Arabidopsis thaliana: one gene and its partner. The protein of the gene in region 1 interacts with the protein of each later gene in a pairwise test. Each region holds a gene or a part of one and is shown in the gene's direction. Other genes may lie near its edges.

Region 1 (4,010 bases):
CCAATTGGCCCAACTTAACCCGACCCAGTATCAGATCTGGCCCGTATTCTATAATCTTCTTGATCGGTGCAGTCCACTTAAGATATATGTGGTGAGGAATAAATCCAACCTGTACAAACACACAGAATGTAGTGGGACGGGGAATATGATAATACCACGCGCTTTAGAGCTGGGAATATATTAAAATTGATCAAAAATAGGCATTTTGGCTGGACTATATAGCTTACCCATTTTGATAACACGCGCTCAACGCTCCTAAGGTGCGCGTGGTACATATCCTTACCTCGAATAAAGTTTATGCTAGTTATTTGGCAGAATCTCAAAGCTTTTTAGAATCATAATTTTCTAAAATAATTAAATCTCTTTACATGTTTTCAAAGTTGTCAAACACTATTACAATTTTGAACATATCATCAATATCAGACAGAAAATTTTCAAAGTTAATACCTGGATCATATGCATTTACTATTTTCTTTTTGTTATATAGAAAAATATCAAATAGATTTTCTAAATAATGACATATACCCTCTTTTTATAGGAGAAAATCTTTTTCCTGTAAACATTCCTAAAATTACAAGTGATCAAACTATATATATATATATATGTTCTAGATTCATTTGGATAGTAAACTTTCATATCAATTCCTTAAGTTTATAAATTATGAAGAGCACATTAATAATATTTTTCACACTCTGTTTGAGCATGGCCGTTATGGCGCGTCACGAATCCTACTATGGCAACACCAAACCGGCTAAACTGAATGAGGAGAAAGTGACACGTGTCAGATTTTATCTCCATGATACTCTCAGTGGCCAAAATCCTACCGCCGTTAGAATCGCACATGCAAATCTAACCGGTGGCTCAGCTTCGCCGGTAGGTTTTGGAAGCCTGTTTGTGATAGACGATCCGCTCACCGTCGGGCCGGAGAAACACTCGAAAGAGATCGGGAATGGTCAAGGGATGTATGTCTCCGGGTGCAAAGACTTGAGCAAATTCACGATCGTCATGTACGCTGATTTGGCTTTCACGGCAGGGAAGTTTAATGGAAGCTCGATCAGTATCTTCTCGAGGAATCCGGTGGCGGAAGAGGTCGGAGAGCGAGAAATCGCGATTGTTGGTGGCCGTGGGAAATTCAGAATGGCGAGAGGTTTTGTCAAAGTAAAAACAAATAAGATTGACATGAAGACTGGTGATGCTGTTCTCCGATATGATGCTACTGTTTATCATTATTAACCGATTCATATGTTCCGATTAAAACAATAAAAAGGCCAACTAAATCAATTATTCAGATCAAAACTGAATTTTGCATGATCAAGAGATCAAAATTGATTAATTATGTTGCAATCTTTCTTCTCAATTCCCAAAATCTATACTAGTAATCTCTTTTACATATCTTAGTTGTGTGGATCGTGATATTTGAGATAGTCTTACAAAAGACATGATAGGGCCTGTGAGTGTATATGATTGGTTTTCCATCGGATCCTATCCGAATTTTATCCAAAATATTAATTATCGATGCCTTGTTTAAATTTTAGGAACGACTTTTATTTCATAGAAAATTTGAATATGTGTCTTCCAAGAAATAAAAATCACGTTGTATTGATATCTTTCACGTCGGAAAATAGCCAGGCATTAGAAATTGACAAATAACAAACAGTGAAGACAGCTATACAACAAAAATGGACCTACCATACATTGTAAACCCACTCTCCCATCAATTACAACTCAACCACTCTTTCAATATATCTCAACTAATCAATCAGTTCACATTTATAACACTAAAATGTTCCCACAATAAAAATTGTAACAGTTAATCTTACATATTAAACGCTACTACTTTTTTTCTATGGTTTTTGTTAAGTTAAAAGTTGAAAGTTACTTCTAATTTGCGAATATGTCAACGGTGTTTTGAGAAAGTAGCGTAATTATTAAAAGATTAACGTATAATTCGTAACTTCTTCAAACCAATAATAAGTAAATAAAAAACAATCATAACGACTTATGAGTAAAGGTTTATTGATAAAGAAGGCATGGAACATTTTATAAACAAGAGAGAACAGAATTCAATATAGTGATCAGAGAAGAGAGAGCAAAGGGAAAGGGTTAATCCTCAGCAATGGGCTCTCACCTTTCCAAACAACTCGAGCGGCGAAAAGCCATCTCCACGGAGAAGAAAGCCCTCACCGATCTCGAGAAATCGTGCGGCTGCGAGTTTCCGGGGTGTGATTACATGCCTTCCGATCGTAAAAACTGGATGGCCGGCGTTGGACCTGAAAAGCTTCACATCAACAAGATCGTCTGGCCTGGGACGCACGACTCTGCCACCAACAAAATCGGTATCCGATTCGTGTCTCGTCCCTTTGCTAAGTGCCAATCTCTCTCCATCTATAACCAGCTCGTGGCGGGTACTCGAGTCCTTGACATTCGTGTCCAAGAAGATCGCCGTGTATGCCACGGTATCCTCAAGACTTATAGTGTCGACGTTGTCTTGGCCGATCTCAAACGGTTTCTATCCGAAACAGAGTCGGAGATTGTCATTCTTGAGATCAGAACAGAGTTTGGACACGAAGACCCACCGGAGTTTGATAAGTATCTTGTGGAACAGCTTGGAGAGCATCTGATTCACCAGGACGATCACGTGTTCTCCAAGACAGTCGCTGAGCTGCTTCCCAAGAGAGTGATCTGCGTTTGGAAACCGAGGAAATCGCCTCAGCCTAAGCATGGTGATCCTCTTTGGAGCGCTGGTTACCTTAAAGACAATTGGATCGATACAGATCTTCCATCGACCAAATTCGAGAGCAACATCAAGCATTTGAGCCAGCAGCAACCAGCTACTTCAAGGAAATTCTTTTACCGGGTGGAGAACACAGTGACGCCGCAGCCCGATAACCCAATAATGTGTGTAAAACCGGTGACTAAGAGGATACATTGCTACGCCAAGGTATTCATCATAGAGTGTGTAAAAAGAGGATGTGCTGATAAACTGCAGATATTCTCAACTGATTTCATAGATAATGAATTTGTTGATGCTTGCGTTGGGCTCACCTTTGCGAGAGCTGAAGGTAAGGCCTGAGGAATGAGCGTGTGGAGACAGACTTTGTGTATCTATTTTGAAGGAAAAGAATCAGAACATGGTTGATGTGTTTTAGGGTTGCTTGTGTATAAGAGAACATGTGAGTGTGTATTTGTATGTGTGTGTGATTTACGAGTGTATATTCCAATTCATTACAACTTATTTGAATCCTGATACAATTGCGAGATATCCAAACTCTTCATTACTATTAATTTCTGATACTTTTGCAGATGTTGTAGTTGATAGACAGGCAAAACAGAAGGAAGAAGTATACAGTTGATGGTAAAATCTAGTTTTAACAAGTGAAAGAGAGCTGCTAACCTGAGAGATGACTATATTTCTGCAGCAATGCCCCTTTTTATTACACACTACTGTGATCTTCAAGAACAAAAAGATAATAGAATCAGTTATGCTAGAATTCATATCAGTAGCTAATGACACAATGCATCTCTATAATTTCATTATTTGATTATATCTATAAACTGAGATGATGGAAACATGGTGCAAAATCCTAATAATTTGAGATTAGATTTCTTCTCAAGACTTGAAACACAAAAGAAGAAGAAGAAGAGCATTTGATCCACAAGAGTGATTGAGCCGAGCCAAATTATTCTCCCTGCTGAGATCGGCAGCGAGACCACTCTTCTAGACTCTAGACATGGGATGCAGAGAAACCAACTTTTTTTATTTAAACGGCTGCGTTTTAAGTCATGTTCTCAAATGATACCAGTTTTTTTTTTTTTTTTTTTTTTGCTAAGCACAAGTTTGATTTGTTGTTTGGCACTTTACGATAACATCATTTTACTCCTATACTTTCTCACGGTAAGTGATTAAGATAAAAACATGCACATTTTTCGAATTATAAGCTAAATTTAAAGGGATCTATTTTCTATCTCTCAATAATTTTTAAATTTTACTCATTTTCTATTTCTCTTAT
Region 2 (6,349 bases), on another chromosome or scaffold:
AGCAAATCAAGATTACTTAATTGCCAGAGAAGTAACCATAGTGAATTGACAAACTACACAATTGCTCAAATTCAAGCAAAAGATGGGAATCTCTCTGAAAAGAGAAAACGCATTTTGTTAATTTACATCGTAAGCTTCGGAGATCTGCTTGAATTTGGCTTCGGCGTCTTTTTTGTTGTTAGGGTTCTTGTCTGGATGCCACTTCATGGCGAGTTTGCGATAAGCTTTCTTCAAGTCGTCGTCTTTCGCATTCCGATCCACCTGAAGAACCTTGTAATAATCGACCCCCATTGCTATACCTCCTCCTTCTTCTTCTTCCTCTTTGATTCGCTCTTCGAATTTCACTCGATCTTCTTCAATGGGAAAAACTCTAGCGGATCATTCCGTACCGGTTCGAAATATTTATCGAGATACAAGAAATACCCGACCGGTTCTTTTATTTGGTCTTTACCGGTTCTGTTTTTGGTTCGGCAAACCTAGCTCAAAAGTCAAACCTTATCAGAATTAAGAATCACGGTGTCGTTTCAAAGAGAGGAAATTTACACTTAGTAGCCCTATATATTTATTATTTAACATTTGACCCCACTAGTATATGTTTGTTACTTTACTTTAAGCGAGGGTGATAGTCAAATTATGAAATATCTGAGGGCCTAAAATGGAAATAAGTAAGAAGTTTTGGGGTGTTCTTAAAATGAAAAATCTGAAGAACAATATCATTGGTTAAATTCCTCTGAAAATCCAAAAGAATTAAAGATGACAGTTCTTCTTCCTCAGCTAAACCATATCCACAAGCTACCAGTAGTACTAAACCGACGCCTCCGACAATCATACAGATTACCAGTGATCTCCGCCGTTTCCGGTAAAGAGCTGATACTTTCCGGCAAGGTACGGGCGGTGGAGCCCAAAGAAGCCAATGCGGTTGTGGCGTCGGAGGGATATATACTGTTAGACGTGAGGCCGGCTTGGGAAAGAGAAAAGGCACGCGTGAAAGGTTCCTTACACGTGCCACTGTTCGTGGAAGATCCAGACAATGGGCCGATCACGTTGCTGAAGAAATGGATTCATTTGGGATATATTGGGCTTTGGACGGGCCAGAGATTCACCATGATCAATGACGAATTCGCCCTCCGTGTTGTGGAGGCTGTCCCGGACAAAGAGAGTAAAGTGCTCGTCGTGTGCGGTGAAGGACTCAGGTACCAGCTTTATATGTTGCATTTTGGTTAATCATTGCCAGTTTTAGTCCAGATTTTAGAGAAACTTATCAAACTAAATAAACTATTAATCAATCGATTTGATCATAGAATCTTTTGGTTTGGATAGTATAAATTAAACTGAACTCTTTGGTTCGGTTTGGTTGTTATAAATGGTGTTGCTTTTCAATCTCATTCTCAGGTCGTTGGCGGCTGTATCAAAGCTCCACGGAGAAGGGTACAAAAGCTTAGGGTGGTTAACCGGAGGGTTTAACCGAGTATCCGAGGGAGATTTTCCAGAGATCGAAGGGACCGAAGAGCTTCGGTTCGCCACGATAGGAGGTGTATCATTTTATTTACTCAAACTACTTGTACTGTTACCGTCTTTTGGCCAGAAGAGTCGTTAAATTGGTTTTTTGGAGCCAAGTGTGAAGACATTTTTTGTTTTTAAAATTGTGTCCGGTTTACACAATTGGTCACTGGTTTATTACTTACAGATGTCTTTCATTAGTTGAAATATTTTGTCCGAATCATTTGCTTCGGACAGCTAATCTCCAAACCTAGTAACAATTTACGTTTACACCCAAAGCCATTAGGCACGAGAGCACATTGTTGAGGGTAGCTTCGTAATTTACAAGAATGTTCATCCTCTCCCAGTCCTCTTTCTTCTTCCCTCGTCTGGTTTTCGAGAGGGAAAAAAAGAAAGAAATCCAGATCTACTAAAATCCCCAAATTCAATTTTCAAAATTTGAACTCCTAGAAAACCCTAGCCTTTGCAATTGGGTGCTACATCTTCCAAATCGTTCCGGGATCGAAATCTCTCGAATTGGGGACGTTGTACATTGCACACGATGGGCGATTTCAACCTCGCTCTCGTGATTGTCGCGATCGTTGTTTGCGTCATCGTATTCATCTCTAGCATCTATCTTCTCGTCAACTATCAGCATCCAGATGATGCAAACCAGGCTTATTTCCCCAAATTCGTCGTTGTTTTTGGCCTTTCTATTGCTATGATCTCGATTCTCATGTTACCGGCTGATGTGGCCAATCGGCATGCTTGTCGACATGCTATATACAATGGAGCTTGCAATCTCACCTTGCCCATGAAGGATCTTTGGCTTGCTATTTATATCGTGGACGCTATTCTCGTGTTCTTTGTCATCCCCTTCGCAATGTTTTTCTATGAAGGCGACCAGGACAAGTTCGTAGCTTGATGAAATTTTAGTATCTCTATGTTGTAAGTTTTGAGTTAATCGAATACTGATGACAATTTGTGGGCTTTTTTTCTTTCGTTTTTTCACAGGACTCTTGGAAAGAGGATAAAAAGTGCCTTAATTTGGGTAGTTACCACGGCTGTTGTTTGTGCTCTGGTGCTTGGAATTTTATATGGTTAGTTGTTCCTCTGTTTTCAATTCTTTTGTCGACTTGAAATTCAGCGTCTTTCTGTATTGACGAATGACGATAGTCTGGAGGTTATACTTGTTTAGCTGGAGTGGTTATTGAATCCATTAGTGAGCATGTGGCAAGGATGAATCTGATGTTGGTCTCTATGATTTGACTGCATTCTTATGTTAATTTTGGCTTTTAAATTACCCAATCAGGGCTTGGGTTGAGATATCTATCTTATCCATTTATATGCTAGGAATACCTTAACATTATTGGTAACATCTTCATCATGTAGGTGTCATTGGAAAGGTGGACTTCTCGGTCAGGCATTTGGCTTCTGCCACATCCACTTTCCCTACTTCCTGGCAGTTTTCAAATACTCAACCATGCATAGGTAACACTGCTCGCCAGGTATGTTTGCCTCTTGAATGTAGCATTAGCATTAGTTTTTATATCATGAGTCATTTATGCCGTAGAGAGTTTCAGCATTTAACATATTCCTGTCTCTGGCTATCAATGCAGTGCTCAGCATTTACAGCTAATCCCACATCTGAGAAAACATGGACTATGCGTACTACTTTTCCAGAATATGTTGTTGCTCTTGCGACAATTGTTGGGTCAGTTCTTTTCACGGTATGACCATTGTTCTTTCATGTTGAGAAGTGCATTGTTTGCTTTGAAAGGATTTAATCTGTCTTATATTGTTGATTCTTCATTGACTAACACAAACTCTCAACAGATGAGATGCATGGCAAGATATAATTCTGTATCCATTGAAGTAAATAGATGTTTGATTTATACATTTCAGTAAAAAAAATCTGATAACTAATTGTTCTCTCAAATATTTCTAGATATTTGGTGGTGTTGGTATTGCATGTCTACCATTAGGACTTATCACTGCATTCATCAGGCGACCAAAGGCTGTTATCACTCGATCACAATATATAAAGGTCTGGTTATTGTTCTCCTCTGGAAGCATCTCTCTAGATCTTGAGTCAATCCCTCTGTCTCTTGCATGATTAACTCCATAAATATATTACAGGAGGCAACCGAACTAGGTAAAAAGGCAAGAGAACTAAAGAAAGCAGCTGATGGACTTCATCAGGAAGAAAGAAGTGGTGCTAAGGGCAGGAAATGGCGGAAAAATGTGAAAGCAGTTGAAAAGGTACCTCATATATCTCAAGGTTCAGTATCTTATCTAAATTTTGTTTCATAAGTAGCAACTTGGAAAGTTTGCCTATTCATACTGGTCCCTTGTGTGTAAAGAGGCTTTGGTCGTCTGTGGAGTTATGAGAATGACAACTTGTAGTGAAAAGCTAGTGAGATAGTAGAATTGGTTATTGACTTTATTGGTAGCTTTTCTTTGCTTGGTTGTGGATTTAAGCTGTGTCCCCTCAATCCTATAATTGAATGTGGTAACCCTGCAGGAGTTGCTCCAATTGGAGGAAGATGTGAACCTCTTAGAAGAGATGTATCCTCAAGGAGAGCAGGTAAGACGAGTGTATCTTAGAACTTATACTATAATATTTTTCTTGTTCAACTATTTTATTCCCTGGTACCTTTTTCCAGGCAGAAACTGCATGGGCTTTCACTGTGCTCGGATACTTGGCCAAGTTTATTCTTGGAATCGTAGGGTTAGTACATCTAAGCAGAAACCTCCTTTGCATTTTTTTTTGTTACATGTTGTATAAATCATGCATAATGCATACAGTTCTTGCATATTTAGGTTTGCACTCTTAAGCTCCCGAGCTAAGCGTCTTTTTAAATGGCAAATTTTTAATGTCTTTGTAGATTGATCGTTTCCATTGCTTGGGTTGCACACATCATCATATATCTACTCGTCGACCCTCCTCTCTCCCCTTTTCTTAACGAGGTTTTCATTAAGCTTGATGATGTTTGGGGTAAGTTCATACTTTTGTCCTTGTTATCCTGTATAAGGTTTCTTCTTTGTTTCTAACTGACTCCATGCTGGTACGTGTGGAAATCTCCAGGTCTTTTAGGCACTGCTGCCTTTGCTTTCTTCTGTTTCTACCTTCTACTTGCTGTTATCGCTGGGGCAATGATGCTGGGTTTGAAGCTGGTCTTCATTACCATTCATCCAATGAAGTAATCCATCTAACCGGTTTCAACATTATTTGGCTATTTTCCAAGGTCATTCATTACCTTCTCTTGATTGCTGATTGGCCATATCAACTTATTTCAGATGGGGAGCTACTCTAATGAACTCTTTCCTCTTCAATGTCGGCCTCATTCTTCTTTGTTCAATCAGGTAAGTCTCTCTGGTCTCTTCTTCTGCCTTTGTATCTGTTGGGATCAAGTGCACTCTGATAAACGGATCTAGATCAAGCATGTTTATGTGCATACATTAACTTATCAGTGTTTTCATGCCATCACTAAAACTAATTTCCTTTCCGGCGAATGCCTGAATCGAAGTTTATAGTTACTTTACTCATGCACTTGGGTATCCTTTGTACTCTATTAGATGTCAAACCAAGACTTTTAATATACAGCTGCTACCCTCACAATTACATGTTAATCCTCACAGTCTGAGTAATGTGGTTCATTTAAAATGCAGCGTGATTCAATTTTGTGCCACTGCATTTGGATATTACGCTCAAGCCACTGCTGCCCAGGAGATATTTGGCCACACATTGCAGTCCCTTAGAGGAATTAAGTACCTTTACAAGTAAGTAGAAGTGGTATAACATATAGCAGTCATATGCTATATCCGTGATGCGTCTTATTGAGGTTTTATATTTCAGGTACAATGTGTTCCAAATCGGGTTTGTTATCCTGGCTGGACTGACTTTCCTATATTACATTGCCTTTGTAAGTCCTCGTTGATGTTACTCCTCGGGTTTTCTCTTCTGTATTAAGTATTTGTAGAATCATATGGTCTTTGGTGTTTTGGCAGGGATGGAGAAGAAAAAAAACTAGTGGCCGTTTCCAGCTCTCTTCTTAATGTAAAACGTTTTCACGGGGATCTGATTGAGTGCTGTCGACAAAGTTTCTACTTGTTTCTGGATCATCATCGATTCCAGAAGTATCTAGAGACTCTGCTTCTGAGGTTTATTTTCCTGAATGTATTATTAAATTTCTTGTGAGTGTGCTGTTTGGTTGCGCAACAGTTAGCTGTCCTGTCTTGGTCTATTGTACTGTCTCGGATGCGATCATGTAATCATATTTTCTTAATGAGAAGCCTTCTTCGAATTTTTACAAGACAGAGACTTCCTTTGTGGTTTGAGACAATTGTAACCGAACCTAACCGGATTATCAATATTCTTGAATTTGTTTAGTATGCAAGGCATACAACTATACAAGTGGACATGTGCTGCTGAAGTGACAAGTGGCGTTGCTATGCGATTCGTCAATAGCTTCTTTTGCCCAATCAGCTTGCTTGCCTCATCTAACTCTAAAAGACAGACAGGATAGATAACGCGAGCTTTTTATAGATAAGGCTGATTTTGTTTCCTACCGTCAGATGGATTTGTTTCTCCATCTAACCGTCAAGATTCGTTCTCTGAGATCTCTCCCACACACATACCGCCACTTAAAAACGCCATTTGCTTCAGATAAGTTACAAACCGCAAACGCGACAGAACTAACTAACGACGCCGGAGATGGCCGCCACTTCAACCGCCGCTGCTGCTTCTTCAATCATGGGTACCCGGGTGGTTTCCGACATTAGCTCCAATTCAAGCCGGTTCACAGCCCGGTTCGGATTCGGAACCAAGAAAGCATCTCCCAAAAAGGCTAAGACGGTTATCTCAGAC

What was found. Proteins that work in one complex are often made in the same cells at the same time.
Region 2: the proteins of AT4G38690 (region 1) and AT3G08930 interact in a protein complementation assay, tested with the Arabidopsis thaliana proteins (one large-scale study listed by BioGRID).

Annotation. Positions count from the first base shown.
Region 1 is NC_003075.7:18,073,806-18,077,815, reverse strand, and holds AT4G38690 (PLC-like phosphodiesterases superfamily protein), read left to right. Parts: upstream 1-1,858; 5' UTR 1,859-2,116; coding exon 2,117-3,073; 3' UTR 3,074-3,496; downstream 3,497-4,010. Other genes in the region: AT4G38700 (Disease resistance-responsive (dirigent-like protein) family protein), read left to right, coding at 661-1,233.
Region 2 is NC_003074.8:2,711,521-2,717,869, forward strand, and holds AT3G08930 (LMBR1-like membrane protein), read left to right. Parts: upstream 1-1,791; 5' UTR 1,792-2,041; coding exon 2,042-2,391; intron 2,392-2,493; coding exon 2,494-2,579; intron 2,580-2,871; coding exon 2,872-2,987; intron 2,988-3,098; coding exon 3,099-3,209; intron 3,210-3,427; coding exon 3,428-3,526; intron 3,527-3,618; coding exon 3,619-3,741; intron 3,742-4,003; coding exon 4,004-4,066; intron 4,067-4,145; coding exon 4,146-4,210; intron 4,211-4,367; coding exon 4,368-4,477; intron 4,478-4,567; coding exon 4,568-4,682; intron 4,683-4,779; coding exon 4,780-4,845; intron 4,846-5,151; coding exon 5,152-5,262; intron 5,263-5,338; coding exon 5,339-5,405; intron 5,406-5,490; coding exon 5,491-5,538; 3' UTR 5,539-5,846; downstream 5,847-6,349. Other genes in the region: AT3G08910 (DNAJ heat shock family protein), read right to left, coding at 127-291; AT3G08920 (Rhodanese/Cell cycle control phosphatase superfamily protein), read left to right, coding at 754-1,193, 1,393-1,597; LHCB4.2 (light harvesting complex photosystem II), read left to right, coding at 6,197-6,349.